2 linked regions of the Oryctolagus cuniculus genome follow. Each later gene encodes a partner of the first gene's protein in a complex. Links are inferred from orthologs where the notes say so. Each region holds a gene or a part of one and is shown on either strand. Other genes may lie near its edges. The genes, in order: TMEM231 and TMEM107.

Region 1 (15,436 bases):
AAACAGCCGAGCATGGCCAGACCCCGCCGGCTCCAGCAGCCACACGATCTGGACGTCAGGAACTGCTACACATCTATTATGGGGAAACAGTAAGTGCTTCTCTGTGGTCAATTAAGCCTCTCATCCTGATCGCGGCATGCCGAAGAATCAGCTACCGAGGCTTTCAACATCTCATCTGGGCAGATCTGAGAATGCCTGGTGGGTGTTTCCTGTACAGCCGCTTCCTCCAGGACCCCAGAGTGGACCCACCTCCACGCTGCAGAACTGAGGGCCCACGGACACAGCCGGCAAGCACGGGCGGGCCGCTGGGCTGCCTGGCAGGCTCCTCGGGTGGCCTGTCGCTTCTCTGAACAGCTTTCGGGTCTGTGCCCTCCCCAGGGGAACCTCTCCAAACCAACACGGACCACAAACTACAGGCGCGAATGCATCACTGACTAAAAGGAGACCCGGGAGAAGGGACTCCCCGCAGCTCTGCAGCATCCTCGGTCAGGCAAGACGACATGGTCCCCGTGCACAAGAGGAACGAGAAGTCCGCGAGCCCGACACGCAGAGTGAAAGACTGCACGTCCCGAAACCTAAGGGCCGCTTCCAGGACCACGGTGAGTCGCTCCGCCACCGTTCCCAAAAGTGGCAGTGACCTGTTGCCCTGTCCTAGAACATCGTTCCTTACGTAATTGGCCAGGGAGCCCTGGGGCTGTAGACAGCTCGCTGGCCCAGATCGGGAGATTCAGCACTGAGGCACCTGAACAGCACCAGCCCCAGCCCCTCGACCCCGGCCGGGGGACCGCCGGCCACGCCAAGCGGGGTCCGGAACCTCAGCTCACCCAGTGTCGCACGGCTGGGCCCCGTCGCCGCTCCCGGGCAGGGGACAGGGGAGCCAGCAGGGCGAGGGGGCGGGGAGTCCCACACTCACCGGAACCCGGTCGGGGTATTTCGCTCGGATCTTCGCGGATTCCACGCATCTGTGTTCTGAGAGAGAAACACACCGGGCTGACGGCGGCGCCTGCCCGCCGGGCCGGTGCCGGGCCCCAGGCCCTCGCGGTCCTCCTCCCCCGGCGACCTGCGCAAGCCCCGGCCCTCGTCCGGTGTCTCCGCGACCGCGGTCCTCTGCCCCCGGGCTCCCGGAGGAGGGGCCGCAGAGGGCCGCACCGGGCCAGGGGGCGGCTGCCCACGACGGCCCGGGCCCTCGGCGACCCGAGCCCGGAGCGCAGCATCCGCCCCGCCCGACCCGGCCCAGGGCGGCCCGAGTGGGGGAGGGGGCCCACCCGCCGCCCCCACTCCCCGCGGGCCGGCCGGCCGGCGGCCGAGAGCTTACCGAGCGAGTGGTCCTCCTTGAACATCCACTTCATGGCGGCGGCAGCGAGGGGACGCAGCCGGCTCTCGGGAGCCGCGGAGTTCAGCGAACCGACCACAACAACAACGACGGCAGCGACTACACGGCAGGCGGGACTTCCGGCTGCCGGAGCCTAGCAACTGGCAGGGGCGGGGCTTCCGGCGCCGCCCGCAGGGTCGCCGCTCCAGGGGGCGGGGCCGCACTAGGGGCGCAGGGGGCGATCGGGCTGTGGCGCTGGTGGCAGGGGTGTCTTGAGGGCTACTGGCTACTGGGTCGGGGGAGGACTGCTGGAGGACCTGTGACGGGGGTGGGGCGCCAGGGCGTTGGTGACTGATACGGAAGACTTTTGGGGGCGTGGCTGAGAGGCTAGGGCTCTTAGGGTTGTTCATAGGGGAAGTCTGGGACGGTGCTGACCAGAAGGGTATTTAGGAATATGAATGACAGAAGAGTGGTCTCTTGTTAGGGCGTTGACAGTTTGGGGGATATTTGCAGCGGTGAGGGGTGGGGGACTCAGCATAGGGGAGTGTTGGCAGTTTGAGGGCTGTGTGTGGGGAGGGGAGCTGATGACGTCCAGGGGGTCTTGCACTGAGGTCAGCCATGCTAGGTTACCTTGAATCCAGAAATCATACAGGAATCCCATTTCCTTCCTTGATCCACGAATATACGTGTGGATGCATATGGAGGGTGTCACAAATGCTTGTGTGACATCAGCGGCCACACAGCGATCCCTTAACCTTCACCCAGCAGGGAAGTTAGAGGTGACTGCCAGGCCGGAATTCCTCTGAGTGCTGGTCACGGGGCAGGTTTCCTTGTTGGGCAGTGGGAGTGGCTTAGCAGGCACAGCCGGGCCCTCTGTGTCACCTGCCTGCACGTAGCCTTGAGGTTCTCCACTCAGCGATGTGATTCCTTTCTTCCAAGCAGAGTCACCAGGGCAGGGTGTCCTGGGTCACCATCTGTTTATTAGCTGGTGAACATGTGACCGGAACATTCATCTAATTGGGCACATGACCCCTGCTACATGCTTGTGATTCTGCTGCATCCAAAAGGCCTGTGTGTTTGAATAATGTCATCCATCACTTCCTACAGATCGAATTCCCCACGGATGCTGTGGAATGCAGGGTTCAGTCTACAAGTATTTCTGTGCATTTACGGTTGCGTGTCTCAACAGCCAGAAGAGGGTTTGTTAACGAAGTGGAAAATCCTTTGAGTTTCATACTTAGAAACTGGTGCTGCCGCTGCAGCTCAATAGGCTAATCCTCCATCTAGCGGCGCCGGCACACCGGGTTCTAGTCCCAGTCGGGGCGCCAGATTCTGTCCCGGTTGCCCCTCTTCCAGGCCAGCTCTCTGCTGTGGCCCGGGAGTGCAGTGGAGGATGGCCCAAGTGCTTGGGCCCTGCACCCCATGGGAGACCAGGAGAAGCACCTGGCTCCTGCCATCAGATCAGCGCGGTGCGCCGGTCGCAGCACGCCGGCCGCGGCGGCCATTGGAGGGTGAACCAACGGCAAAGGAAGACCTTTCTCTCTGTCTCTCTCTCTCTATCCACTCTGCCTGTCAAAAAAAAAAAAAGAAAAAAAAGAAAAGAAAAGAAAAGAAAAGAAAAGAAAGAAAGAAAGAAAGAAAGAAACTGGTGTTGTGGTACACAAGCACACTCACTGCCCCAGGCGCAAGGGACAGAGCGGTGAACAGACAACACCACTGCTCCCATGGAGGCTGCATTCCCATGAGACAAGGCCAAAAATAAATATGTGATATGCTAATAAGTGCTGGTTAGAAGAACAAAATGAAGTAGATGACTAGACGGTGATGGTGGGATAGAGTGCTGACTAAAAACCCTGCCGCAAGGCAGGCTCTGTGACACAGGAGTTAAAGCCCTGGCCTGCTGTGCCGGCATCCCATATGGTTGCCGGTTCGAGTCCCAGCTGCTGCACTTCTAATCCATCTCCCTGCTAATGTACCTGGGAAAGCAATGGAGGGCTATGTGTGCCCCTAAAAACCCTGCCACTGAAAGTAAGTAAACAATGAGGATTGTATTAGGAGATGGGATCAAAGTCATCTAGAACAAAACTGTTGAACTTTGAATTTCTTGCAAAGAACTTTGGATTTTATATACATTTAGATGAGCAGTGGAGGATTTTAAGTACAGGCATAATACAATCTTCCTTTTTCAATGACCAGGCTAGCTTCTGTGTTAACAGTGGACTATGGGGGCGTAAAGGTGGAAGCAGGGAAATAGTTAAGAGGCTATTGTGAAAATCCAGGTGAAAGATCATGTTGGATTAAACCAAGATGGTATCTGGGGACATGCTGGGAAGCACTTGTGCTCTGGATATATGTTGAAGGTAGAGCTGACAAATTTTCTGACAGATTGGTTGTGAGATGTGAGGGATAAGTTAAAGTCAAGGTTTTTTCAAGGATGGAATGGCCATTTACTGAAATAGGGTGGAGCTAGCATGCAGGATTAGAATCAAGAGTTTGGTTTTATTTCTTTTTTTTTTTTAAAGATTAATTTATTTATTTGAAAGGCAGAGTTACAGAGGCAGAGAGAGAGAGACAGAGAGACAGAGACAGAGAGAGACAGAGAGAGGTCTTCCAGATGGCTGCAACCACCAGAGCTGCGCTGATCAGAAGCCAGGAGCCAGGAGCTTCTTCCAGTCTCCCACATAGGTGGCAGGGGCCCAAAAATTTGGGCCATCTTTGGCTTCTTTTCCCAGGCCATTAGCAGGGACCTGGATCAGAACTGGAGCAGTCAGGAATCAAACCAAACCCCTACGGATGCCAGCATCACAGGCGGTGGCTTTTCCCACTATGTCACAATGCCAGCCCCAAAAGTTTGGTTTTAGATGTATTAAATATGAGAAACCCAAGAGACACATCCAAGTGAAGCTGAAGAATGGGTGAATGGCCCTAGGAAAGAAGTATCTAAAGCTACTGAACTGGATGAAATTAGCTACATGAATGAAAGTAGCTATTTTGCAGATAAAAAACTGAACACTGAAGTCAGTAAATCAGTGGAGGAGTTAGAAGTTGGACTCAAGACCTCTGTTTGCCTTTACCTAGTTGGATTTGTGCCACAGTCCCAGAGATGTGTTTATCACGTCCCCTGTGGAGGTGCCTAGTACCCTTTTAGGGGCAAGGTCGCTGCTCATCAGCTCATAGGCATGTCCCCGATGGTCCCAGTGATGACCTGCATTGTCTTTCTGTCTTCCATGCTTACTACTTTCCTGCTGTGTTTTTCCTGTTTGTTTGTTTATTTATTTATTTATTTATTTTTATTTTTTGACAGGCAGAGTGGACAGTGAGAGAGACAGAGAGAAAGGTCTTTCTTTGCCGTTGGTTCACCCTCCAATGGCCGCCGCGGCTGGCGCACCGCACTGATCCAAAGCCAGGAGCCAGGTGCTTCTCCTGGTCTCCCATGCGGGTGCAGGGCCCAAGTACTTGGCCCATCCTCCACTGCACTCCCGGTCCACAGCAGAGAGCTGGCCTGGAAGAGGGGCAACCAGGACAGAATCCGGCGCCCCGACCAACTGGGACTAGAACCCGGTGTGCCGGCGCCGCAAGGCAGAGGATTAGCCTACTGAGCCGCGGCGCCGGCCCCTGTTCATTTTTTGAAATGGCTTCTCTGAGCTGCCTTGATGAGAGGCATCCATCACCTTCTCGGCTCATTGTAATGAGCCCACAGAATGCTCCAAGGACACTGGATCTGTCCTTGAGGGGGTGGTTAGTTGAGGAGGGGTCAGGAGGAGAAGGATAATGAATCCGTGCAATTCCACGTTAACAACCTATAGGACGTGCAGGATGAGTTGTTAAAATGCTGGAGAGATGCGCACGCACGGATACCCGAGGTACGGCCAGGGCGAGGGATGGGGCCAACACAAAGCCAGGTGAGGCGTAGGGAGAAGGACTTCGCAGGGACTGTGGATCTGAGGATGCAGAGGAACGGGTACATTTTTCTTTCCAGACACAAACAAAGGCCACCAGTGGAAGAGGAGCTGCAGAGAGATGGGTGCCAAGGTGAAAGAAGTGTTGGAACGCCTGGAAGCCAGTGCTGAGGACTCCAAAGCTGACTCCGGAGACCCGGAGTAGAAGCTCCTGTAAAGGAGAGGAACGTGATCAAGACATGCAGCTTGAAGAGAATGACTGTTCTTGGAGGTAAACTGTATGAAACATGAAGAACAGTATGGAGATGGAAACTGCAAAGTCAGTTCTCAGCCTTAACTGTGTGAAAATGGCATGAAACACACAAATGGCATTTTAAAATGTAATATTCTGTCTCAAAGAATTGAAATAAAGTCACAAACACTAGCTGCTTTAAATCATGGAAGCCAGGATGCTGCATTATTGTCCACTGCTATATTTACTTTTGCGAGGTTTGTGACATCTCGTGGGAGACTCAAGCATTTCATACAGTGTGCTCTCCTCCTGTCTCAGCAGTGACTTACCGCGGTGTGTGTTCCTCCTGTCGGAAGAAACCCTGGAAGCACAGGCGTCCTTCTTACCCTCAGAAGTCTGTAGGCCCATCTGTTCCACAAGACCTTCGTTGAGTGGTTATTTAAGTAGCTGCAAGTTGTCCACTTAACGCACAGATATGGAAGAACCATGCCACAGATCTAAGAGGTGCTGCATCTAAGAACTATATGAGCAGGGGCCGGCGCCGTGGCTCACTTGGTTAATTCTCTGCCTGCGGCGCCGGCATCCCATATGGGCGCCAGATTCTGGTCCCGGGTGCCCCTCTTCCAGTCCAGCTCTCTGCTGTGGCCCAGGAGGGCAGTGGAGGATGGCCCAAGTGCTTGGGCCCTGCGCCCGCATGGGAGACCAGGAGAAGCACCTGGCTCCTGCCTTCAGATTGGCACAGCGCCGGCCATAGCGGCCATTTGGGGAGTGAACCAACAGAGGGAAGACCTTTCTCTCCGTCTCTCTCTCTCATGGTCTGTAACTCTGTCAGATAAATAAATAAAAAAACCTTAAAAAAAAAAAAAAGAACTATATGAGCACCCCTTTCCCACTAAAGCTTTCAAGCAATGGTGAGGAGAGGGTTGGTCTATCATTATTATGACTCATGACATTAATTATCAGCTTGGACTGCAGTGAGGACCCTGGAATGGTTGTCCTCACTGGGCAGGGCTCGATCCCTTTCTGTTGGCCTCTGCTGGCAGCCTCTAAGCTGTTCTCTTTCTGGGAAAGCCACTTCTAGGCTGCTTTCAAAATAGTGCATCAACTACTGCTGCTAAGCACAAACCTTCACACTGATTTTTTTTAAGATTTATTTTATTTATTTGAAAGGCAGAGTTACAGAAAGGTAGAAGCAGAAAGAGAGAGAGGTCCTCCATCCACAGGTCCACTCCCCAGATGGCTACAACGGCCAGAGCTGCCTCAGTGTGAAGCCAGGAGCCTCCTCCGGGTCTCCTATGTGGGTGCAGGGGCCCAAGGACCTGGGCCATCCTCCAGTGCCTTCCCAGGCCATAGCAGAGAGCTGGAACCGAAGCAGACAGTCAGAAATCGAACTGGCACCCATATGGGGTGCTGGCCCTGCAGGCGGTGGCTTTACCCACTACACCACAGCACCGGCCCCCACACTGACTCCTGATCCTGCAACTGGAGTCTTCAGGGCCTTTGGATGGAGAACTTGGCTGTGGACCATTGGTTTTATTATTTATTTTTCTTTTTTTTTGTTGTTTGCTTACTTTTTTTTTTCTTTTCCTTTCTTTTGGATCATAGGTTTTAAAAATCCTTCCACCCTGTTCAAAATACTGGCTTGGCAGAGAAGGCGGTGGGCAATCAATTAGCAATAAACCAATGTTATCTTTGGGAAGTACGACTTAACCCACTGGGGCAGCACTGTGGTGCAGCGGGTTAAGCCACCATCTGCAGGGCCAGCATCCCTTGTGGGTGCCAACTGAGTCCTGGCTGCTCCACTTCCAATCCACTTTCCACCTGGGAGAGCAGCAGAGGAGGGGCCAAGTGCTTGGGCCCCTGCACCCCAGTGGGAGACCCAGTTGAAGCTCCTGGCTCCTGTTTTTGGCCTGGCCCAGTCCTGGCTGCTGCGGCCATTTGGGGAGTGAACCAGCGGATGGACGATCTCTCTCCCCTTCTCCCTGTAACTCTTTCAAATAAATTATTAAACCTTAAAAAAAAAAAAAAAAGGCTTAACCCACTGCACAACACGTCCCAGAGGGGAGTGCCAAGTCCCAGCTGGTCGGCTTCCACTCCAGCTTCCTGCTCGGGCATCCTGGGAGGCAGATGATGATGGCCCAGATATTCAGGCCCCTGCCCTTAAGTGGGAAACCCAGAGGGAGTTCCTGGCTCCTCGGGCCATTTGGGGGAGCGAACCAGCAGTTGAAAGATCTCTGCCTCCCTCTGTCACTCTTTCAAATAAATATTTTTAAAAAGAAATGTATCTTGTTTAGTAGCTCCCTCTGAAACCGGCAGCCGAACCTGCACCCAATACAGGTAACAATGTACGTAGTAATGACCCTGCCCGCCCCAGAGCCGAGGGTTTGGGTCCTGTGCGCTGTCCTGCTTCCGGAGCCACAGAACACAGAGGCGGAGCAACCCGGCCTTGGCCTTCGTCCAGGACCAGGTCGAGGAGCGAGGCCACGCGTGTGCGACCTGCGGGCATCAGCGTGGACCACTCAGCCGTCCTCAGCCGTCCCGAAGCAAAACACGCAACGCCCCCCTCTCGGTGGCCCGTCCACTGGCTGACCACGCCCCTCTCCAGGTAGCTCCGCCCCTTCTAGAGGCCCGCGCCGCTACTATTGGTCCTCCTCCCGGCGCCGCCGGTTGCCGTGGAGACCACGACGATGGCAGCCGGGAACAGCCAAACTTGGTCGTCCCTTCTCGGTTTGCGTAGGGGTCTCGGCGTGCGCCGTCCATGGCGCTGTACCAGCTCTACTCCCACCCGGCCGAGCGCGGCTACCGCGCGGGGCTCTGCTCCAAGGCAGCGCTGTTCCTGCTCCTGGCCGCCGCGCTCACCTACATCCCGCCGCTGCTGGTGGCCTTCCGGAGCCACGGTGAGCTTGCTAGGCCGGTGCGCGCCACCGCCTCCGCTCGGGACGGCCTGCCTGACCTGTCCCCCTCTCCCTCTCACGCCCTTCTTCTCTCAGGGTTTTGGCTGAAGCGGAGCAGCTACGAGGAGCAGCCGACCGTGCGCTTCCAACACCAGGTACTGCTCGTGGCCCTGCTGGGACCGGAGCGCGACGGCTTCCTGGCCTGGAGCACCTTCCCCGCCTTCAACCGGCTGCAGGGGGATCGCCTGCGCGTCCCGCTCGTCTCGGTGCGTGGCTCCCGCCTGGAATTCCGCTTCCCCCAGACGCCCAGGTACCCGGGCAGCGCTGCGTGCTGACCCGGGCCGGGCACGGTGCGCGCTCGGGGTCCCGCGGTGTCGCCGCGTTCACGCGGCGCGGCGGAAGCTGGGGGTCGGGGGCGGGCGTCTCCGGGCAGGACTGACCCTCGGAGACCGGGCGCCCCGCACCTGTTCCCCGGCAGGGCCCCGGCGGAGGGAGCCTGCCCCACGTGATCTCAGAGGCTGCTCCAGCGTGCATCTGTCCGGGGTAAAATTGAGACTTTTTCTTTAAGAGGGCCGAAACTTCTAGTTTTCCTTCTTCCACGTCCTTGAGGTGAGTGGCCTACAAGACAAACTCGTGTAAAAAATGTTCCCAGCAAAAAGATGATAGGTCGTATGAATAACTAGAAAGTTTGTTACAGATAGTTTTTCTCTGGTTACTTCTGAAATTTATTGGCTTTTTTTTTTTTTTAAGATTTATTATGTATTTGAAAATGAGAGTTGCACAGAGAAAGGAGAGGCAAAGCGAGAGAGAGAGAGGTCTTCCTGATGGTTCACTCCCCAGTTGGCCGCAACGGCCAGAGCTGCACCGATCCAAAGCCAGGAGCCAGGAGGTTCTTCCAGGTCTCCCAAGTGGGTGCAGGGGCCCAAGCACTTGGACCATCTTCTACTGCTTTCCCAGGCCACAGCAGAGAGCTGGATCGGAAGTGGAGCAGCCGAGTCTCAAACCTGCACCCATAAGGGATACCGGTGCTTCAGGCCAGGGCGTTAACCCGCTGCGCCACAGTGCCAGCCCCTATTGACTTATTTTAATTAGGAAAGTACCCAGTTTCCCACGTCGGTGTCAGGGGCCCAGGTACTTGGGCCGTCTTCTGCTGCTTTCCCAGGAACAGTGGCAGGAAGCAGGATTGGAAGTGGAGCCGCCAAGACTTGAACCGGTGCCCATAGGGGATGCTGGCGCTGCAGGCAGAGGTCAAACCCACTGTGCCACAGCACTAGCCCCAGGTTTTTTCTCCACATGTTTATATTCCTCTCTATCATGTGCTTCTGGTCATTTGAGTCTAAGAAATACCATGCAGGCTTGAGATAATTGTGAAGACAAGGATAAACCATTAAGTTTCATTCATTCATTGTTTTTACGGGTTCGTGCAACACAGCTGCTGTTGGCCTCTTAGCTCTGCAACCAGAAACCAACCACTCCCTTCAGTGCACCGCCCTGGTCCCCCCTTGCATCTGGCGTGCAGTTCCAATTTTAATGAGAAGCCAAAACTAACTCTTAATGTTTATGGTACCCATACCATGAGATCACTTTCATACTGGGTAATTTTGGGGCTGGCACTGTGGTACAGCGGGTTAAAGCCCTGGCATTCCATATGGTCACTGGTTCGAATCCTGGCTGCCCCACTTCCGATCCAGCTCCCTGCTAATGTGCCTGGGAAAGCAGTGGAGGATGGCCCGGTGCTTGCGGCCCTGTATCCATGTGGGAGACCTGGAATAAGCTTCTGGTTCCTGGCTTCAGCATGTCCGAGCCCTGGCCATCGTGCCATTTGGGGAGTGTACCACCGAATGGAATTTTTTTTTTTTTTTTTTTTTTTGACAGGCAGAGTGGACAGTGAGAGAGAGAGACAGAGAGAAAGGTCTTCCTTTGCCGTTGGTTCACCCTCCAATGGCCGCCGCGGCCGGCGCGCTGCGGCCGGCACACCGCGCTGATCCGATGGCAGGAGCCAGGAGCCAGGTGCTTCTCCTGGTCTCCCATGGGGTGCAGGGCCCAAGCACCTGGGCCATCCTCCACTGCACTCCCTGGCCACAGCAGAGGGCTGGCCTGGAAGAGGGGCAACCGGGACAGAATCCGGCGCCCCGACCGGGACTAGAACCCGGTGTGCCGGCGCCGCTAGGCGGAGGATTAGCCTAGTGAGCCGCGGCGCCGGCCTCGAATGGAATATTTTCTTCCCCTACCCCCTACAGCCAGTGCGCCACAATGCTAGCCCTGGTTCTTAATTCTTTTTTTTTTTTTTTTTTTTAGATTTATTTATTTATTTGAAAGTCAGAGTTACACAGAGAGAAAAGGAAAGGCAGAGAGAGAGAGAGGTCTTCCATCGCTGGTTCCTTCCTCAATTGGGCACGACAGTGAGAGCTGCACCAGTCCAAAGCCAGGAGCCAGGAGCTTCTGCCAGGTCTGCCACACAGGTGCAGGGGCCCAAGGACTTGGGCCATCTTCTACTGCTTTCCCAGGCCACCGCAGAGAGCTGGATTGGAAGTGGAGCAACTGGGACTCGAACCAGCACCTGGGATGCCGACCCTGCAGACGGTAGCTTTACCTGCTATGCCGCAGCACTGGCCCCTAGACTCTCAACCTTTGTTACAGCAAAATACTTTTATTTTCTGACTCTGAACATAAAGCCCGACTGGCTTCAAGCTGTCTGCGAAACTGTCTAGGAAGCTACAGAAACAGCGGTCCTCAGTCAAGGTTGAACCAAGTGCGGGGAGGCATCTTGGTGACTGCTAATTTGGGAAAATGCCTCGGAAGTCACAAACAGCCTGGGTTCTGCTTTGGTCAGCTCACCTTGGACAGCATCTCTAAAGTCCCCCCCTTCTCTTTGATTAATATTATTTTATAAGATACCTTTTTTTTTTTTTTTTTTTTTTTTTTTTTTTTTGACAGGCAGAGTGGATAGTGAGAGAGAGAGACAGAGAGAAAGGTCTTCTTTTTTTTTTTCGCCGTTGGTTCACCCTCCAATGGCCGCCACGGCTGGCGTGCTTCGGCCGGCGCACCGCACTGATCCAATGGCAGGAGCCAGGTGCTTCTCATGGTCTCCCATGGGGTGCAGGGCCCAAGCACTTGGGCCATCCTCCACTACACTCCCGGGCCACAGCAGAGAGCTGGCCTGGAAGAGGGGCAACCGGGACAGAATCTGGCCCCCGGACCGGGACTAGAACCCGGTGTGCCAGCGCCGCAAGGCAGAGGATTAGCCTAGTGAGCCGCGGCACTGGCCTATAAGATACCTTTTAAAGTGTTTATTTTCATCTGTTTGAAAGGCAAAATGACCTGGGGAGCGAGGGGAGAGTTTTTCACCCACCGATTCACTCTCCAGGTGCCTGCAGCAGCCAGGGCTGCACCAGACAGAAGCCAGGAGCCAGAGTTCCGTGTCTCAGGGTTCCAAACATGTGAGCCACCACCTGCTGCCTCCCAGGATGCGTTAGCAGGGAGCTGGGTCCTGGAGCAGCCAGGGCTCCAAGTCGCTGGCTCTGCAGTTGGGGAAGTGGGTGTCCCAAGCAGGCACTTAAGGAGTGGACAAGCCGGTCAGAGATCTCTGTCACTACCTCTCTGTCTCTCTGCCTTTCAAATAAAAGGAAAGCTGCAGCACTCACCCCACACCTTGCCTTTGGTGCCTTCAAAGTCCAGCTGTTGTTTGTTGCCGTGTTGAGGGTGAGAAGAACAAAGCAGGTGACCTTTCCCCTTAATGGGTCTGACGGGTCCGTGTGGGGGCCCAGAGAAGTTAAGTGCTGCGGGCTCAGAGAGGATGCTGGGGGTAAGAGGGGTTGCCGCGTGTCTGTGCCTCCGAAACCATGGCGTCTTCCTGCCCGCGGTGTCTGACGCCTGCTGCTGGCCAGGACGCAGGCTCTGCAGAGTCCTCGTTGCCTCCCGCTGCACACAGCCACCGGGCGGGCGGCTTCACAGCTTGCAGGAGATGCAGGAGCTGCTGGAAAGAAAGCCCCAGGGCAGCAGTGAAGGGTGTCTCAGCCTCTCCCAAGCAGCGTTTTACAATGCACCGGGTCCAAATGACCGGGGAGCCTGCTGCACTGCCCAGAACAATGTGTTGTAGTTCACTCTGTGAATTGCTTTTTAAGTGGGATCACCCGGTGGACGCGTGGTGCCCTGGGGTTAAGAGGCCTGCATCCCATATCCTACTGCCTGGATTCGAGTCCTGGCTCCGCTTCCAGCACCAGCGTGCGCCTAACGTGCCCCCTGGGAGGCAGCACTGAGGGCTCACGCGGTTGGGTCCTGCCACCCACATGGGAGACCTGGAGTGAGTCCCGGGCTCCCGGTTTTGGCCTGGTCCAGCCCTGGCTGTTGCAGGCATTTAAGGAGTGGACAAGCAGGCCAGAGATCTCTGTCACTACCTCTCTGTCTCTCTGCCTTTCAAATAAAATGAAAGTAAATAAATGTGAAATGTCATGTCATCAGCATATTCAGTGACAGGACAGAATGTGTGGAAAAGTATGGAGGTCATCGACTGAGTCATGGTGACTGTGGTATGTGGTATAAATATGTGTAAATCCAGCATCCATCTCATCAGGTGTAAACTACTCGAAGTGATTGGAAAGTGCGGGGTCATAGTTTAATTGGAAGTGTTCTTCCTTTCTTACTGGCAGACAGAATAATGGCTCATTTTGGGGCCGGCGCCGTGGCTCACTTGGTTAATCCTCCGCCTGTGGTGCCAGCATCCCATATGGGTGCCGGGTTCCGGTCCCAGGTGCTCCTCTTCCAGTCCAGCTCTCTGCTGTGGCCCGGGAAGGCAGTGGAGGATGGCCCAAGTGCTTGGGCCCTGCACCCGCATGGGAGACCAGAAGCACCTGGCTCCTGGCTTTGGATCGGCGAAGCTCCGGCCGTGCCAGCCATTTGGGGGGTGAACCAACAGAATGAAGACCTTTCTCTCTGTCTCTCTCTCTCTCTCTCTCTCACTAACTCTTTAAAAAAAGAAGAAGAAGAAGAATGGTGCATTTTGTAATTGAGGTGTCAGATTCCTTGAAAACCAGGTAGCAAGGATTTGATGACTCTAGGAACCACGAAGCAGTGTCCCTGCTTTGCTGGAGACTCAAAGACTGATACCAGGAGAATCTCCAGTCTAAAAGGGGACCAAAAACACCAAGGGGTAACAAGTATGAGGGCGGAGTCTAAAAAATTCAGAGAGTGCACATGGCGAAAACAACCATGCGGGGCTTGTGCAGTTTTTTTGTGCCCCAATAGATTTATCTCTTAACTGCATTTTTCTTTTTGATTATTTGTTGGTTGTATTTATTTGAAAGGCAGAGTTACAGAGAGAGGAGAAGAGAGATCTTCCAACTGCTGGTTCACTCCTTGGATGGCTGCAACAGCCTGCGTTGGGCCACTCTGAAGCCAGGAGTCAAGAGTTTCTTCCTGGTCTCCCACATGGGTGCAGGGACCCAAGTGCTTGGGCCGTCTCCACTGTGTTCCCAGGCACATTAGCAGGGAGCTGGATCTGAAGTGGAACAGCCAGGACTCAAACTAGTGCTCATATGGGATGCCGATGTCACAGGAGGCTGATTAACCCACTGCCCCGGCCCCTTAATTCCATTTTTCCACGGACATTTGGAAGTATCATCATATATTGTGAAGTGGACATTGGAGTAAATTAGGAAACTAGCTTTTCGTAAACCAAGAATGAATAGATACCACACAAAATTCCAACAAACCATCAGATACTGCAAAATCCTGGATGGGTCAAGATGTAACAAGTCAAGACTGATTTGACTAGAAACATCTGAGCTTTTTTTAAAAAAAAATTATTTATTTTTGTTTTATTTGAAAGACACAGAGACAGAGAAATCTTCTATCGCTGATTCACGCCCCCAGTATCTGAAACAGCCAGAGCTGGACCAGACCAAAGCCAGGAACCTGGAACTCCCGGCATGGGATGCAGGCATGGCACACGCCCACTCGCCAATCGCATTGTGCAGTTCGCGGCATCTCCTGCAGCCAAGTGGCCCTTTCCCGCTCCGCCAGTAGGAGGCACAATGAGCCTTGTGCTAGGAGTGGGAAAACCACAGCCAGGGTGAACAGTTGCTGGGGTGACGCAGACAGGGACAGCGAGCAAACAGAGGCAGGACTAAGACACTACTCTCTCCTGCCACCTTACAGGTCCCCTCCCCGCGTTCTCCCCCTGGCTCTGAAGGCACCGGCACCAGCTGGCAGCACTCCCTTCTTGAGGTCCAAGTCCCAGCTCCCCGAGGCTGCTGCGTCAAGCCTCTGGGATCTGATAACTCCAGGCTCTTGCCTTTCTTCTCTTGCTCCCTGGGGTTGTCATTTCTGTATATAACCCATATTCCCTTTTGGCCTCTTTAGTCCTCTAATATTTATGTTTCTATTTTTCCCTGTATATATTTTTTAAAGATTTATTTGAAATTCAGAGTTACACAGAGAGAGGAGAGGCAGAGAGAGAGTTTTTTTTTTGACAGGCAGAGTGGACAGTGAGAGAGAGACAGAGAAGAAGGTCCTCCTTTTGCCGTTGGTTCACCCTCCAATGGCTGCTGCGGCCGGTGCACCGCGCTGATCTGAAGCCAGGAGCCAGGTGCTTTTCCTGGTCTCCCATGGGGTGCAGGGCCCAAGCACTTGGACCATCCTCCACTGCACTCCCGGGCCACAGCAGAGAGCTGGCCTGGAAGAGGGGCAACTGGGACAGAATCTGGCGCCCCGACCGGGACTAGAACCCGGGATGCCGGTGCCACAGGCAGAAGATTAGCCTTTTGAGCCACGGTGCCGGCCGAGAGAGAGAGAGGTCTTCCATCTGCCGGTTCACTCCACAGTTGGTGGCAACGGCCGGAGCTGAGCCGATCCGAAACCAGGAGCCAGGAGCTTCCTCCAGGTCTCCACATGGGTGCAGGGGCCCAAGGGCTTGGTCTGTCTTCTACTGCTTTTCCAGGCCATAGCAGAGAGCTGGATCAGAAGTAGAGCAGCAGATCTCAAACCGGTGCCCATGTGGCATGCCGGCACTTCAGGCCAGGGCGTTAACCCACTGTACCACAGCACTGGCCCCTCCCTGTGTATTTTTAATTTTTTTTTTTATTTGTACATCTTATTTGAA
Region 2 (15,454 bases), on another chromosome or scaffold:
AGCCCAGCGTACCTAATGGGATATGGGTGCTCACCTATATGGCACATGGGTGTCCCTAGCAGGCTCTTAACCATTGCACCAAACCTTCCCAATACTGATATATTTTTTTTTGTTTTAAGATTATCTTCCATCCACTGGTTCACTCCACAAATGGCTGCAATGGCCAGGAGTGGACCAGGCCGAAGCCAGGAGTTTCATCTGTGGGGCAGGGACCCAAGGACTTGAGCTATCCTCTGCCACCTTCCCAGGTGCTTTAGCTGGAAGCTGGATTGGAAGTAGGACAGCCAGAACTGGATGTGGCCGGGTGGAATGCCAACATTGCAGGCGGAGGCTTAACCCGTTACACTACAATGCCAGCCCCACGCACACTGATTTTTAAGTAACCTCCTTATCATCTACTAAATTCTATATATCGAGTCCTGCGTCTGGGCTGTCTTACGTCTTCCATTGGCCTAGCCGGTCACCGCACTGGTGTTTCCATCATTTTATTCCACAGGGTGCTTTTATTTCTCAGACTAGGATCCTCTTTCCCAAAACTTCCCTCAAAAGTCCTGGATCGGCAAGGTTCATGCCTCAGCCAATCACTGTGGCTGGGAAAAATGGGACATTCTTACTGGCCAGGCTTGGACCTCGTGGCCAACATGGGAAAATCCCAAAGGAAAATGGGGGTGCTGCTACCAGGAAGAAAAATAAAAAAGGATCGGTGGTGAACGGGGACAGACAACAGATGTCACCGGGATAGGATGGAAGTCAACTCTCCCCACACAGGCACCTGGATTATCCCAGCTCATCCTCTCAACAACCGAAGAAGAGATATTGCTGTGAACTAACCGGAGCCAATTTGGTCTCTTTGATAGGCATCGGCAGCTTGCCCTCCCCCTCCTCCAGCTCCACCACCTGGAACAAAGCTTGAGCTGTGGGAGAATTCTGCTGTACCTACAGGTACTTCTCCCGGAGAGTTAGCAATCAGATTTGAAACCATTCATGCAGGAACTCCATCCGGGTCTCCCACAAGAGTGGCGAGAACCCAAGTACTTGGGCCATCGTGCACTGCTCCTGGGCCCATCAATGGGAAGCTGGATCTTACGTCTGCTCTCTCAGGTCAGTGAGGTCCCTGACCCGTGCAGGAACAGGTTCACCGGGGCAGCCTCAGCAGTCTCCTAACCACACACTTCTTATCCTCATTGCAGACAAGGGACAGCCAGGAACCTCCCAGACCAAAGAGACCCCAGGAAGCAGGCCGCGGCGCCACCGATCAGGGTTCAGGCTGCAGGCCTTTGTTGGAGACGGTGAAGCCTCTCTACCATCTCCGCGGCAGCCCTCCTCTCTAGAACACCACTAGTTTCACAATAGAGATGCTAACCGGCAAAGCCCCTGGTCTGGGTCAAGACAGGAGTTCATGGTAGCTACTGCTGGAGTACGGATGAGGGAACTGAGGCAGAGAGAGGGTAGGTGACCTGCTGCCCCTCTCACAGGCAAGAAGGGGAGAAAGTGCTCTTGGACCTGGAAGGTAGGGTGAGGGCTCACATTGTTGGTTGAGGACAAGAGGTGGGTGAAGTCGCCCAAGGAGACAAGCAGAGGAGACAGACCCGTACTGCGTCCCCAGAGATGGACGAACCGTGGGCACTCAAGCCAGGGGCAGCACTATTCCGGAGCCGAGGGAGGAGAAGGTTCAGAAGGCGGCGAAGTCAACACTTCAGAGCTGTGGAGCTCGAGTCTGAGCGGCGACTCTGAATTTGGGAACAAGGCAGTCCCTGGTGATGGCAGGGGCAGAGTGTGCGTGCTGGCGAATGGTTAACAGCCAGCTCTCAAAACCGGTATGCATTTCTGTACATATGTACGTTTATTATAAACTGTACTGATAAAAATACATATAGTACAGAATTTACAAATAATAAAGTGTACCATATTCTTTATTGTAAATTCCTCTTCTGTGGTATAGTGGTAAAGCCACACTTACAGTGCTGGCATCCCATATGGGAGCCAGTTCAAGCGCCGCGGCCTGCTTCCTAGAGTCTCTGGTCTGGGGGGTTCCTGGCTGTCCCTTGTCTGCAATGAGGATAAGAAGTGTGTGGTTAGGAGACTGCTGCAGCTGCCTCTGTTATGGCCCTCTTGGATAGCCCAAGTCCTTGGGTCCCTGCACTTCCGTGGGAGACCAGGAAGAAGCTCCTGGCTCCTGGCTTCGGATTAGCGTAGCTCTGGCCGTTGTGGCCATCTGGGGAGTGAACCACTGGGTGGAAGACCTCTCTCTCTGCCTCTCTGTAACTCTGCTTTCAAATAAAATAAATAAATCTTTCAAAAATTAATATATTATTTCATAAATGTTGCATCCAAACTACAAGCTTAGTCCAATGTGAATGTTGGTTCCTATCTTCATTCATGACAAAATGAAACAATGATGTTATCTGTTGAGACTTCACTGCTTTCACAGGTACTTCTTTATTGGCTCTGATAATAGTTCTCAAATTCTGGGAGAATATTTTCTCAGATTTGTGTGCTATTCACAATGTGACAGTTGCAGAGATAACACTTTGAAGTTTAATCTGCATTATTAATATTTTTCTCCATCTCTGTCTTAAAATCCAGACAACCTACAAGGACTGATTTGTAGCATCCGCCGATTTCTTTGGTGTATAGATTTCCACCAATGCCAACTCATCACTAAGAGAAGAGATGCACAGTCGAAAATCATTATACAGTATTTCCACCATACAAATGCAGTCAACCTTAAGAACATTTTATAGTAAAATGATCAGGAAGTAATGGGCTTTGAGTACTTATTATCTCGTTGAAAATATTTAACTGTAAGTTTACATAATTAAATTTTAATAATGTCTGTGTTTATCACCTGGCTCAGAAAGTTACTGAAGAACAGTCATTTCCCCCAAGGTGGTCGGAGCACTGCACTGGGTGGGACTGAGAGGCAGACTGTGACGGGACGGAACCCTCCAGATCAAGTCTCCTACTCCTCTCTGCTCCGGTCACGCTCTCATGGAACTGACACCACTCCTGCCTCCTTGAGCAAAGTAACCCCTGTTCCACAGCAGGGTCGACTGAGTAGGGGTCAGGGCTCAGGGCTTTCTGCATTCAGTGTGTGCTCAATTAGCACTCACTGAATGAATGTTATGGATGAAGGGCTGCAGTGCCAGGGGGCAGAAGGAAAGGTTATGTGTGTGAGGCAGCACCTGAAAGGCAACACCAGACGCTTTTCGGTTATTTGGAACAGCTTGGACTCCACCACTCTGGGTTAAAAAACCTACAGAGAAACCTTCCCAGCTTACACAGAACCCTGAGAATATTTATATGACAGAACTGTAGACTCTTGTAAACTCGCCTATCTGTACAGTGTCCTATTGTGTCAATGCGTTTTAACAGCTTTCTTCAGGAGGTGGTCTCATCAGACAAGACTGAACAGGGGTGCATCGTCAGGTTTTCAGGTGGGGTACCCACCAGAGGAGTCCACCCTTCTTGCCAGGACCATTAAATAAAACACTTGTGACACCCAGGGTGGCTGATAGGAACCACCATTTCACAGGAAATCAAAAGATGTGCTCTGCTCAGGGCAGTTAGCTAAAATTGTGAAGAGTTTCTCCAGGGCTTCCAATGTGGGCCGAGGGGAGAAAGTAGACCACCAGGGACAGGAATCACGCAGGCGCACGGAAAAACACAGTACCGGCAGGAAAACATTCTCAGGAAAAAATGAAACTTCTATCTACCAGAACACAAACCAGTGTACCCCAAGCCAAAACAACTCTCCCACAATCCACATCTATCATTTAGCACAAACCAAAAAGATGAAGGTGATCGTCAGGAAGAATCAGATAGGAGCAATCAGGGTGTTGCAAGTCCTGATTACGCAGAGACGCTAATCACGCATCATGCGAACTCCAATCATCATGTTCTATCTGCCCTCCAAAAGGAGGAACAGGTAAGGATTATCCCACCTGACGATACCGGCCCGCCCCGGCCATTCCATATTCAGAGGAGCAGATGCCCCTAAGACCTAGGGTGAATACGCAACGCGTTAGTCGGAGAAACCCAGTTGCTTTGAATTATTTCAATCATATTTCGACATTTATTTGTAACGTTAAAAAAAAAACTTCTTACATTCGATTGCCAAAAAGGAATAAACTAACTCCTCCCAGAATGCTCTGCTCCCTCACGTGCTCGTGAGTTCTGAGCATACACAATCTTATTTACATATCTCCGCCCATCCCTGCCGCCAGCACTCTACCGTAATACCCAAAATAGAAGCGACCCCTGTTGTTCTATGGGCTGGAAAGCAGTCTCTGCAGTAGTTTGGCCAACTCAACTGTTCCCTGAAAATTGTATAAATTTTGATCTTATTATAAAATAGATTTTATTTATTACAAAGCACTGACTAAAACGCTATCCCAGACAATTATCCCAACACCGACATCCTCCACCAGAAGCAGTTTCCGGGGCGCGGCGACGCTGTCCTGCCAGGAACGGGAGCTTCTGGCTCCCCCAGCCCTGTTCTCCACGTTCTTGCAGTGAGGATGATCAGAAGGGTTTCTTTTTCAGCCCAAAGACGGCGATGAATAATGCCACTTCAGTGACAGCTGGGAGGGCGCTGTGGAAGGCAGGTGGTGGGGTCAGGCCCCCTTCCAACATAAATACCCGAATCTCCAAACCAGACATCCCAGCCCCGAAGTGTAGAGGGTGGGATTGGAGGGGGGACTTCAAAGGACCACAGGATGTGGTCTTGGTGTCTCAAACATTCAGGGAAGAGCTGGATGGGGCGAGCCTTCCTCCCCACCCCCCAAGACTGGGTGCTAACCGCACCTGCAGAACACAAAAATGTACCAGTACGTGGTGCACTCCCAGCGCTCGAATATGAAGAACGACAGGGCTACAGATGCACTACAGTGCGCTGCGATGGCTTGTGGGCGACACACAGGAGTCAAGGAAAGTCTTGGGGCCACAACAGCGACGGGCTATGGCAGGCCAGTGGTGGAGCTCCCAGGCCTTGTGCGACGGCGGGAGTCAGCAGCCCTGCCTTCTGATTTTAACAGGCCCACGTGTAGCGGCCTGCGCTGAGCCTGCACTGCCGAGACCCCAGGCTACCCTCACCCCACATGGAGGGGCCAGCCTGCACCCCCGAGGGGAGGTCAGAGCAGGCCCCCATGGACCCCACAGGAATGCGGACAGCGACTTGATCCTCTCTGCTGGAATCACTCTCCACCAGGAGGCCCGCAACTGGAGAGTCAAGCGCCTCCCTCAATCCTTGGCTCTTTTACCCCCTCCTAGAGGATAGTGGGGTGTGTGTGTGTGTGTGTGTGTGTCTGCCTCCGCCTCACCCCCATTTACCTCCAGGGCCCGGTGCACAGCGGCATCCACAACTGTTTGAGGATTGTGTCAAATCCCTGCACTGCCTAAGCAGAGGCGGGGCTCCTGGGGGGAAGGGGGTCGCTGAAGGGAGTCGCGCTGGAAACGGGTCGTGGGGGCAGAAAGGATACAGATGAGGCTCTGGGTGCTGTTGAACATGGACACTCCTGAGAGGAAGCCGGCCAGCTCCACGGCAAAGAGGCCCAGGGTGACCGAGAGGGCGGCCACCAGCCTGCAGAGAGGAAGGGGAGCGGCTCAGGACCCCCGGCCTCCGGGACTCCCACCGCCTCTTCCTTCGAACCCCCACCCCCCCAAGAGCTCACTGCACGTCCTGCTTCTCATACTCCTCGGGGGTGAATCGGAGGGGCAGGCAGGCCTGGACGTTGCTGTCCTGGGGAGCGGGCAGAAAAGGAAAGGAAGTGAGAGAGGCCGGCTGAGACCCCGGGCGGGGTGGGCGCGGCGACCACGGCGAGATGGCGACGCGGAGTGGCGGCCGTGGGTCTTACCCGCGACCAGAATAAGGTGATGACGACCACCAGATGCGCCAGCAGCGTCAGGAAGCGGGAGGGCACGAGCCCCGAGATCCGGCTCATGCTCCTCAGGGCCGCGGGCGGCGGCGCTGGGAAACCTCTCCCGGCCCGCGGCCTTCGCGCGCCTCAGGGGCCGCCCCGTTGCCTTGGTAACTGCGTACGCGGACCGTGCGCCTCGGGTTCTGAAGATCTCGCGAGAGCCGTAAATTCTCGAGCCGCCGTCGTGCAAGTGCGCCGTGTTCGGGGACCCCGCTGCGGCCGCCAGCCTCCTAACCGGAGGACTACGTCCGGGGGTTCGCTGGCTGCTCAGGTCCGGAGCGGCGCGGCCCCAGGCTGCATTGCCGGGAATGGCCTGTCCGCGGAGGAGGTGCTCGCGGACTGCTGCGGCCGGCGTGCCGGTCTTAGGTTGGAGGCTCAGACGCGGTCTTCCCTTTCCGTCCTCGTAGCTTCCTTGTGCCCTGAGCCCAACGTGGAACGTTCACTGGACCTACCTTGTCCGGCAGGCCCGTTGTCACGGAGCCCTTGGTGGTCGGAGCACCCCAGACATCTTTGCCGGGTTCGGTGAGGGATTTGCATAGTGCAGAAGATGGTGGCAGCCTCAGCCTAGGGACGGCCCCGCCGGGACTGGACAGGGCGAGCGTGGACGAAGCGTCCCGCACAGGAGGTTTGGAGCTGCCTGGGACGCAAGGCTCAGCTCTGGTTCCGGGGTCTCCGAGGTACCGGCCGCACGGGCTCCAGGAAGACCCCTGCTGCTTGCGCACACCCAAGGGGCTTCCCTCCCCGCTTCTGAGGAGAGTAACCCCAGCCTTCAAGTCAGCCTGCACTGCAAAGCCTAGTGGTAGGCAGCCCAAAAGGAGGTGGAGCGTGGTCGCGGCAGGCCTTGCAGCCACCAGGCGCGACGTGGTCAGATTCGTATTCTCCACGACCCAGGTTGCAATATGGAGAGACTAACGAGGAAGCCATAGAAGTATCCAGAAAGGACAGGGTGAAGCAAAGACGATGGAGCAAAGCAGAAGGATTGGGGAGAGGGTCTGGCTCGGGGCCTGTGGGTGGGTGAGGAAAAGGGAGAGTCAAGGTGACCCAAGGATTTTGCGTTCAACAGCTGGAGGTTTGGAGCATTCTGCTCAGTAGGCGTTCTGCCTAGGAGACGGGCTAGACAGTACAAACCGAGTTCTCAGGTCCTTAGGTGTGGACTCATGAACAGGGAGTGGGCAGCCTATGTCTGCTTTGTCCTTGTCCACAACCTTGGTTTATAGAAACTTGCCTCAGAGAAAGTCGTTTCTTGCCTGGGTTTTAGAGCCTGCTGGTGGCCATGGGCTGTGCTGCGGGTGACCAGCTGTCCTCCCGTAGGTGGCCACTCACTCCAGGGCTGGATTCGGTATCTCAGCATTTGAATTGGTGACAAAAGAACTTGCAAACTTTTCATTTTTTGGCATCCTAGGAAATTTCAAACACAACGTAAAAATGAAACAGTATAACAAACCCCTGGGAGGGCCACTGCTCTGCCTCAACAGTTGTCAGCACGTGGTCAGCTTTGTTGCCCCCTCCCCTCCACCACAACCCCACACGTGTGCATTGGGGTACAAATAAAGTCCACTTGGCTGACATGTCTGAAATCTCTGTTAATCTTGGGTTTGCCCTCCTCCCCATCACCTCACCTTCCTTCTTTTCTTGCTGAAGATACTGGGCCACGTGTGGCGTCATTTCATTCTCTCCTGGCACTGTGTTTCCTGCAAACTGATGGTCAGGTCTAATGGTTGATCTATGTGTCATTCAGTTTTCTGGTAAGATCACATCCCGAGGGATGGTTTGTACTTTCTGTTCACCTCATCAGGAATCCTGCTTGTCTGTGTGTCTGTCTGTCTGTGGTGCTGAAGTCTGAGTGGTGGCTTCGGGTGCGGTCAGGCTGAGCCACCCGTGATAAAATTCTTCATCCATTCTCACCTAATGGTACCACGGGTCCTCATTGCCTAACTGCATGATTTCAATAGCGATTGCAAAATGGGGATGGCCTAATTCGAGCCCTCTTCTGCATCTACCAGCTAGAATTCTTTTATCAGTAAGAATTTTCCATGAGATACGAGTCATACAGGAAAGGCAGGATAAATGGGTCCTTTTTTTTTTTTTCCATTATTTGCCAGTTTTCAGAATCCCGGTTCAGTAGTGTCCTACAAACACAACTAGATCTTTTTAGTAGCATGGTGACCACATAGATTTTAACATCTTTTGTGTATTTCAATCTACCTTTTTTTTTTTTTATAACTAAAGAACATTTATTTTCCACTAAGAGTTTGCCTTGAGGATGTAACTAAACTGAGCCACCCCCCACCCCATCTCTAAGGGTTAGTACAGTGACTGTTATAAAGCAGATCTCAACAGTCTGAAGCTCTGGAACCAACATTAACTGACAAAAAAATTCCATCTAAATCCTCATAAAAATGTTTAAGTAAAAAAAAAAAAAAAGGGAAGAAAAAGAAAAGAAAAAAGGGGCAATGGGGGTTTCAGATTGAACAACATTCTCACACTTCATCTGATACATTCAATCTGGCTAGAGTGTACCAAGTGGAAACAGGATCACTATAATACAAAACTCCCACTACAGCACGCTGTACACACCTGTGTTCCAAGCCCACCCCCATCCCCCTACTGCTTCCACTCCATTATTTTCCCGCCTGTTGGGCCTGCCGGCGGAGGAGCACATAGATCTTCTCTTTGATCCAGTCTTTGTTATAAGGCTGGTATGTCTGGGTATCAGCCCGGTAAACAAGGCAGCTGAGGTCTGCCAGATCATCAATAAAATCAAACAACTGACTGATATCGTATGTGATAGACGGACTGTTGGGATTCATTCTTTTCAGATGTTCCTCATACATTTTACAAATACCTTCCATGCATTCATTCACAGATTCATAGTCAGCATAAGTTCTGCCTTCTGGCCTCTTGGTAGGCTGTACCAGCAAAATGGTATGAGACATCGCGCCAAACTCTTCTCTTTGCAGCCGCTGCCGACACCGCCGCCGCACACGAGCTTCTCATTCTACCTTTTTTTAAAAGATGCATTTATTTTATTTGAAAAGTGGAGTTACAGAGAGGAAGAGGCAGAGAAAGATCTTGCATCCACTCGTTAACTCCCCCAGATGGCCACAACAGCCAGGGCTGGGCCAGGCCGAAACCAGGAGCCGGGAACTCCATCCAGGTGTCCCTTGTGGGTGATGGGTCCAAGCACTTGGGCCATCTTCCGCTGCTTTCCCAGGTGCATTAGCAAGGAGCTGGATTAGAAGTGGAGTCAGGACTTGAACTGGCGCCCATATGGTTTGCCAGTGCTGCAGGCTGGGCCTTTAACCCACTGTGCCACAGAGCTGGCCCTTTAACTTCTTCTTCTTCTTCTTTTTTTTTTTGTTTGTTTGTTTGTTTAATTGGATTGTTTGTCTTTTCACTGTTGAGTTACAAGTGTTCTTCATGTATTATGATTTCTATACCTTTATGAGATACACGAAAGTATGCCAAACCAGTTTATGCAAATTGCATAGTAAAACAAACTATCCCTGGATTCCATTTTTTTTGTATCAAAGTATCTTTTAGTTCCATTTTCCATGAACTTTTGGATATGCCCTGGTTTTAAAGCCCTAACCCTTCATGCGGCGGCATTTTGAGGTGGGAGATGATTAGGTTTAGATTAGGTCAGGGTGGTAGGACCCTCTTGAGGAAGACATGTGTCTCTCCAAGTGTGAGCACTCAGGGAGAAGGGAGCAAGGCCTCCCCAGGAAACACATCTGCCTGCAGCTTGATCTTGTACTTCCCAGCCTTCACCACTGTGAGACAGAAATGTCTGCTGTTTAAGCCACCCGGTCTGCAGCATGTTGTTACAGCAGCCTGAGCTAAGATATTCCCTAAGACAGACACAATAACGAAGCCATCAATCAAGTGATTACAGAGTTAAAGAACTAGTGTGGCCGTGAAGAGCTCAGATGCCTGAGTCAGGCTGGGTTACAAGCTCTAAGACCTCAAACAGGTAAATATATCACCTTGTGCCTCAGTTTCTCCGCCTGTACCTCTTAGACAACGGGGTTTCAATGACAACACACCTCAGCAGCACTCAATACTGTTGCTTGCTTCTTTCCTCTTGAAATACTTTTTGTTTGTTTCTTCACTTACCCTCCTGTTTTCCTGAGCACCTAGCAGAGCCTCTGTGTTGGTGTGGGGGTGGCACAGGATGCAAGCCCTTTAAGGCCCCCTGGATGGAGTGTGTGTTGCAAGGAGGAGCAGCACACCACAGACAGGAAGTTCCTTGAGATCAGTAGAAACAACGCCCACGTGTTTGAGGTGAGGAGGTGAGAGAGGGGGTCGGTGCTGCCCAGCTCAGCTTCCACAGCCTGGAGAGAAGCCAAGTCCAGTGCCTCCAGATTGCTTGTTTGGGTTACTTCCTCTCATCCTGGTCTTAAATGTTGGTCTCCGCAACTTGAAAATGAAAAACAAATGAGAAGAAAAAATAACCTTGAAGGCCACGGGACCCAGCCCTCAGCCTACTAAGCTTTTGCGCTCCAGACCCTCTGCTGTGATGACGGAAGGAAAGAGTGCACATTGTCTGTGTCCACCGTGGCAGCCCACCAGCTCCATGTGGCACCAGAACACTTGAGATGAGGCTAGCGGGACTGAGGGACTGAGATTTTAAGATTAAGTTTCATTCGGGTAGCCCTAGATTGAAGAGTCAACCCAGTGACTGCCATATTGGGCCATGCAGTAGGGTTACTTAATGGCTTCTAAAATGTGGAAACCAGGGGCATGAATGAAAGCGTCAACAACAGAGTGCCACAGACCACTCTATGCCTAGACATCGAGTCCCTAGTCCCCGGTAACCATAGTCACTGGGCCAACTTCCCTTTCAACCAAAATGATCCGCCTCACCCCGTGTCCTTCAGGTGCCCACACAAACCTTCCTCTGTAAGCCACTCTGTGGCCCACTTCCTGCTCTTGCTAAAGCTAGCCTTCCTTAACTTCACAAATACTTACTGAAACACACATTGCAGGAATTGTGCTGTGTGCTAGGAATACATTTTTCCTACTTTCTTACTAGAAAGGGACAGGACATCCCGAAGAAACAAAATGTCAATTTTCTCTCTTTTAAACATGTTTTATTTATAGAGAAGGGTTCCCATCCACTGCATTGGTTTCAGACATCTCTAATGGTGCTGACCAAAGCTGGGAGCCCTGGGATTTGGGCCAGGCTGATGCCAGGGGCCAGGAACCCAATCCAGGTCTCCCATGTGAGTGGCCGGGACCCAACTATTTGAGCCATCGCCACTGCCCCCCAGGCTCTGCATTGTCGGTAAGCTAGAATTGGGAGCCAGGACACAAATCCAGATAGGGGACACGGGTGCCCTAACTTCTAGACCAAACCCTTGCCCTTAAAATGTAAAATTCTCAGTGCTCTCTTAGAGAAGACAAAGGGCCTTTTCTTGCAGAAGTGGGGAGGACGGTGAGCCTTGAGTGGCATGTAAGGACTTGAAAAATTATCATGCAATAGCAGGGATAATGACATAGAGACAAGGGACCATTGTGCACAAGTGGTGAGGGGGGAGTGGCTGAAGATCAGGCAAGGACCCAATAGTACTATTACTAAGAACAAATTCTTGCTCCGTGATCACCACTGGCCAGGCTCCGAGCCTGTGATCTGTAGCAGACAGATACCATAGTGATGTGTTACCATCTTTGCCATTTCAGGGATGAGGTCACTGAGACACAGGGAGGTTGAAAAACCAGTCCAAGTTACACCACCAGTTAAGCCGCAAAGCCTGTATGTGAACTCTGGTAACGTGGTTCTGTAACCAGGCACAGGGTGATCTGAAAAAGGCTGGGCTTGGTTCTCGGCGAAATCGGCGAAATCAAATGCGAGGCGGCAGATTTCACCACAGTGCACAAGTCTGCTCCCACTGAGTCCAGCCAAACGCTGGCTTCCAGGCCGCCATCACAAAGCATATGTTATGTTAGGCTTCAAGGCCAGGCCACAGGCTTCTCTGTTTGCCCATGCTGTGGGAACGCTTTAACTCTTAGGACTTGCTCTTACAGACAACCCGGCACTCTCCGCACCTGCACACTTTCACAAGGATTACGTGGCAGTCTGCTGTGGCATTCTCGGTAGCTGGCTGAGCGGTGTTGGCCTTGACCACAGCTACTCCCAAAATGGGCCGCCCCTCCCGCATTTCTGTGAAGCCAGCCCCCCCCCCCCCCCCCTGCAGCTCTTACTAAGCAGTACAGTAGCGCTTGAGTTTGCTAATCTGCTCCCGGCCCTGTCCACAGAGATTAAACTTTCTCCTTCCTTTGTCCTCCAGCCTTGTCCTTGTCACTTTGATTCGGCACCGGGGACAGAGACCAAGCTTTCAGGGACTGTCCCGGAGCCAAATGGTCTTGCTGTCTGACCTTGTGAATCCACTCAACAAATTAGGTCTGACTTTGAGCCAAGGCCTGGTGGAATCACGTTTGCATTTTGAAAGAGACTATTCTCTTTGCGGACTCTGGAGGCAAGGAGGTGAGAAAGGAGTCTTAAAAATAATCTGGCAGGAGAAGGTGTGGGGGTGGGAGTGGGAATGGGGAGCAGGGGCCGGCTGGAAAAATCACCAAGGAGAATGGAACTGACCGGATGTGGGGGCCGGAAGTGGGAAGTGAGTTCTGAGGACCCTTAGGAGAGCCTCTTCCAGGCTGGCCTGGAAGATGGTGGGATCCCCCATGGCTTATTCCTCCACCCCGGCTGGCTGAGCCCCTCTCAAGCTTCTAGAAGCACCGGGGCCTCTTCCGGCGGCAGGTGGACTTCCTTGCAAGTGCCCAGCCCTGTGTCACGTGGGGAGCTTTACAAACCGCTAACGTCCACGGCGATGGGAATTACGGCCGTGCACAGAGGGGCGGGCGTCCCTCGGGAGCGGACACGAGAGAACTTTCTAGAGTGATGCGGCCGTCCTGTGTCTTCAAGGAGTGAGTCGCACAGGAGTACGCGGTTGTCAAAGCACGCATTTAAGATCTGTGCGAATCACCCCAAGAACGTTTGAGGCTATCAATAGGGTGTCAGGGGCGTCCTTCCCCCCGGGGGGGTTGAATCAGAATCCTCCGAGCCCGGGACGGTGCGTGGGGTCCCGCTGAGCGCGCCGCCCGCGATGGCAACGTGCGGACAGCAGGGAGCCGACGTCCCGCCGCTCACAGGTGCCCCCTGGACCCTACCCTGGCTCCACCACGGTCCGCCGATATCTGTCCCGCAGCGCGGTGCTGGGCGAGCCGTCCCAGCGAGGCTGCGACCTCTGTGACCCGCCCGGGGACCAGCTCCAAGCCCTCTACCGGCTCGTCCTCCAAGCTCGGCTGGACCCACGGGACAGGTGGGCAAACGCAGCCCCCACCCCACCCCTGCCGCCACGCAGGAGACCCTCAGCCTTCGCGCATCTGGGTCCTTAGGACCCCTGCAGCACGCCCAGGCCGCAGTAGTCATGAATGGACCTGTCCCCCGCGTTGGCCGGCCGACCTCGTGGCGCAACGGTAGCGCGTCTGACTCCAGATCAGAAGGTTGCGTGTTCAAATCACGTCGGGGTCACTTCCTTTTCTGGTTCCTCAATCGCTTTTTTATTTAGCTCCCCTTTATTTCAACTGGGGGTCCAGCGCCAGCGCTGCCGCCGGAGCACGGAGAACGTGCAGCTCCTTCTCAAGGGCCGGAAAGAGGAGGGGTCTTGTGGCGCCAAACCGCGAAGCCTCCCCCGTCGGAAGAGCCCGCCGGCCTCGCGGGGCGTCTGCGACGGATCCAGTACCGAGACCCTGCGGGATCGCGGGCCCGGAGGGCTCAGCCCAGAGGGAGGAGGGGCGGGCGCTCGCGCCTCAGGGCCAGGCGCTGGGTCCGGCGCGGCGCGTTCTCCTCACGGGGCCGGGCGGGCTCCCCCGGGCGCGCGGCCCTGACTGACGATGGAGGCGCGTGCCGCAGGCGGCGGGCAGAGTTCAGGTGCCTGAGAGAAGAACGAGTGAGGCGGACGTGTGGACGAGGTGGCCGAGTGGTTAAGGCGATGGACTGCTAATCCATTGTGCTCTGCACGCGTGGGTTCGAATCCCATCCTCGTCGGCGCGCCGTCGTGAGCGCTCGCTTTCCGTTTTGTAATTCCCAACGCGAGGATCTCTCTTTCCTCCGCCAGATTCACTGCGTTTCGGTCCCGTTCGTGTCTTGCTTCTCTCCCCGCCCTCTGCGACCACATTTTCCCGCACGACCACAAAAACCACGTGCTTGCCATCCTCCTCCCCGGACCTGACCGGGCCAAGGAAACATGGCGCCACTTCCCATCAAGCGGGCGCCGTGGCTTAGTTGGTTAAAGCGCCTGTCTAGTAAACAGGAGATCCTGGGTTCGAATCCCAGCGGTGCCTCCGCGGGTGTTCTCGCTTTTGCGAAGGCTGGGAAGAGCCCCGGTGCTGTCAGTGGCATTCGTCCCCACTCCGCGAATCCGCCTCGCGGGCTCTCAGGCATTTTACCCTATTGACCGTGTGTGCGTGAGGACGAGGACGAGGACGTGGACGTGGTCGTGGCGTGCGTTTGTCCCTCGGGCACGCGGAATTTGCCTGCAGTCACATCATCTGTGCTTCCGTGCTTGTCGGTATCGAATCCTGGCTGTTAACTCGTGGAAAGTGTTCAGCGAATCCATTTCTCGTTTTTTTTTTTGTTTTGTTTTTTTTTTTTTTTACACTCACGTTTCCCAAGCAGTTCTACTCTTAAGGGTTCAGAGGGCGGAGCAATGATATAAGTTTATAAGTTTATATATCTTTTTGTTGAGGCCAAATGCCATCTGGCCGGTTAGCTCAGTTGGTTAGAGCGTGGTGCTAATAACGCCAAGGTCGCGGGTTCGATCCCCGTACGGGCCAGTGGGCTTAAATTTTCAGCTTACTTCTAATCGTTTTTTAGTTACAAATCGTGCACTTGAAGTAAATTAGTAAAGCAACCTTTCCAATCCCAAAGCATTTTACACCGAAAGAGAAACGCTGGAATTCGGTCCGAAGTGGGCATGGCTTACGGAGGAGTTCAGAGAAAACTCGGATGTGTGATTTGTTTTTATTTTATTTTTGACAGGCAGAGTGGACAGTGAGTGAGAGAGAGACAGAGAGAAAGGTCTTCCTTTTGCCGTTGGTGTGTGATTTGTTTCTAAGTCTCAGGACCACAACATGTAGCTCTTGAGCTTACTGCGTGGACAGTAGAGAGCTTGGACACAGGCGCCTCAGACCGTTACATGCGGCGCAGATCAGCAGCAAGGGTCAGGCATGGAGTTGGAGCTGTTCCCAGTCTCTTCCAGGCCACTGTGTACAATCAGGGCGGGAGAAGACAAGCCCTTCTCTTCCTCCCCCAGAGACCCTCGCTTACCTCTGCTTTCACTGGGCCCTAGGCCCCTGTGTGTGATGCTCCTTATCTCACATTTCCCCTCGGATCTGCCGACAGCGGGGACCGTACTCTCCCGCATCTAGCCTGAGACCCCCCCCCCCCCCAGCACCCGCCCCGAGAACCAGGCCCATACTCCTTTGCATTTCTTTGGCCCCTGGATCCCTGCAACCCGCACAAACACAGGCTC

What was found.
Region 2: TMEM231 (region 1) and TMEM107 share a complex: the UniProt entries of both Homo sapiens proteins name them as parts of the tectonic-like complex. The link is inferred for Oryctolagus cuniculus from reciprocal best matches to the Homo sapiens genes TMEM231 and TMEM107.

The regions. Positions count from the first base shown.
Region 1 is NC_091449.1:57,930,262-57,945,697, reverse strand, and holds the start of TMEM231 (transmembrane protein 231), read left to right. Parts: upstream 1-8,098; 5' UTR 8,099-8,201; coding exon 8,202-8,340; intron 8,341-8,433; coding exon 8,434-8,603; intron 8,604-15,436. Other genes in the region: GABARAPL2 (gamma-aminobutyric acid receptor-associated protein-like 2), read right to left, coding at 914-969, 1,316-1,349. UniProt on the Homo sapiens protein: Transmembrane component of the tectonic-like complex, a complex localized at the transition zone of primary cilia and acting as a barrier that prevents diffusion of transmembrane proteins between the cilia and plasma membranes.
Region 2 is NC_091448.1:52,662,268-52,677,721, forward strand, and holds TMEM107 (transmembrane protein 107), read right to left. Parts: upstream 7,763-15,454; 5' UTR 7,538-7,762; intron 7,317-7,537; 5' UTR 5,943-7,316; coding exon 5,856-5,942; intron 5,741-5,855; coding exon 5,678-5,740; coding exon of another isoform or gene 5,673-5,677; intron 5,582-5,672; coding exon 5,481-5,581; intron 4,912-5,480; coding exon 4,807-4,911; intron 4,595-4,806; coding exon 4,525-4,594; 3' UTR 3,813-4,524; downstream 1-3,812. UniProt on the Homo sapiens protein: Plays a role in cilia formation and embryonic patterning. Requires for normal Sonic hedgehog (Shh) signaling in the neural tube and acts in combination with GLI2 and GLI3 to pattern ventral and intermediate neuronal cell types.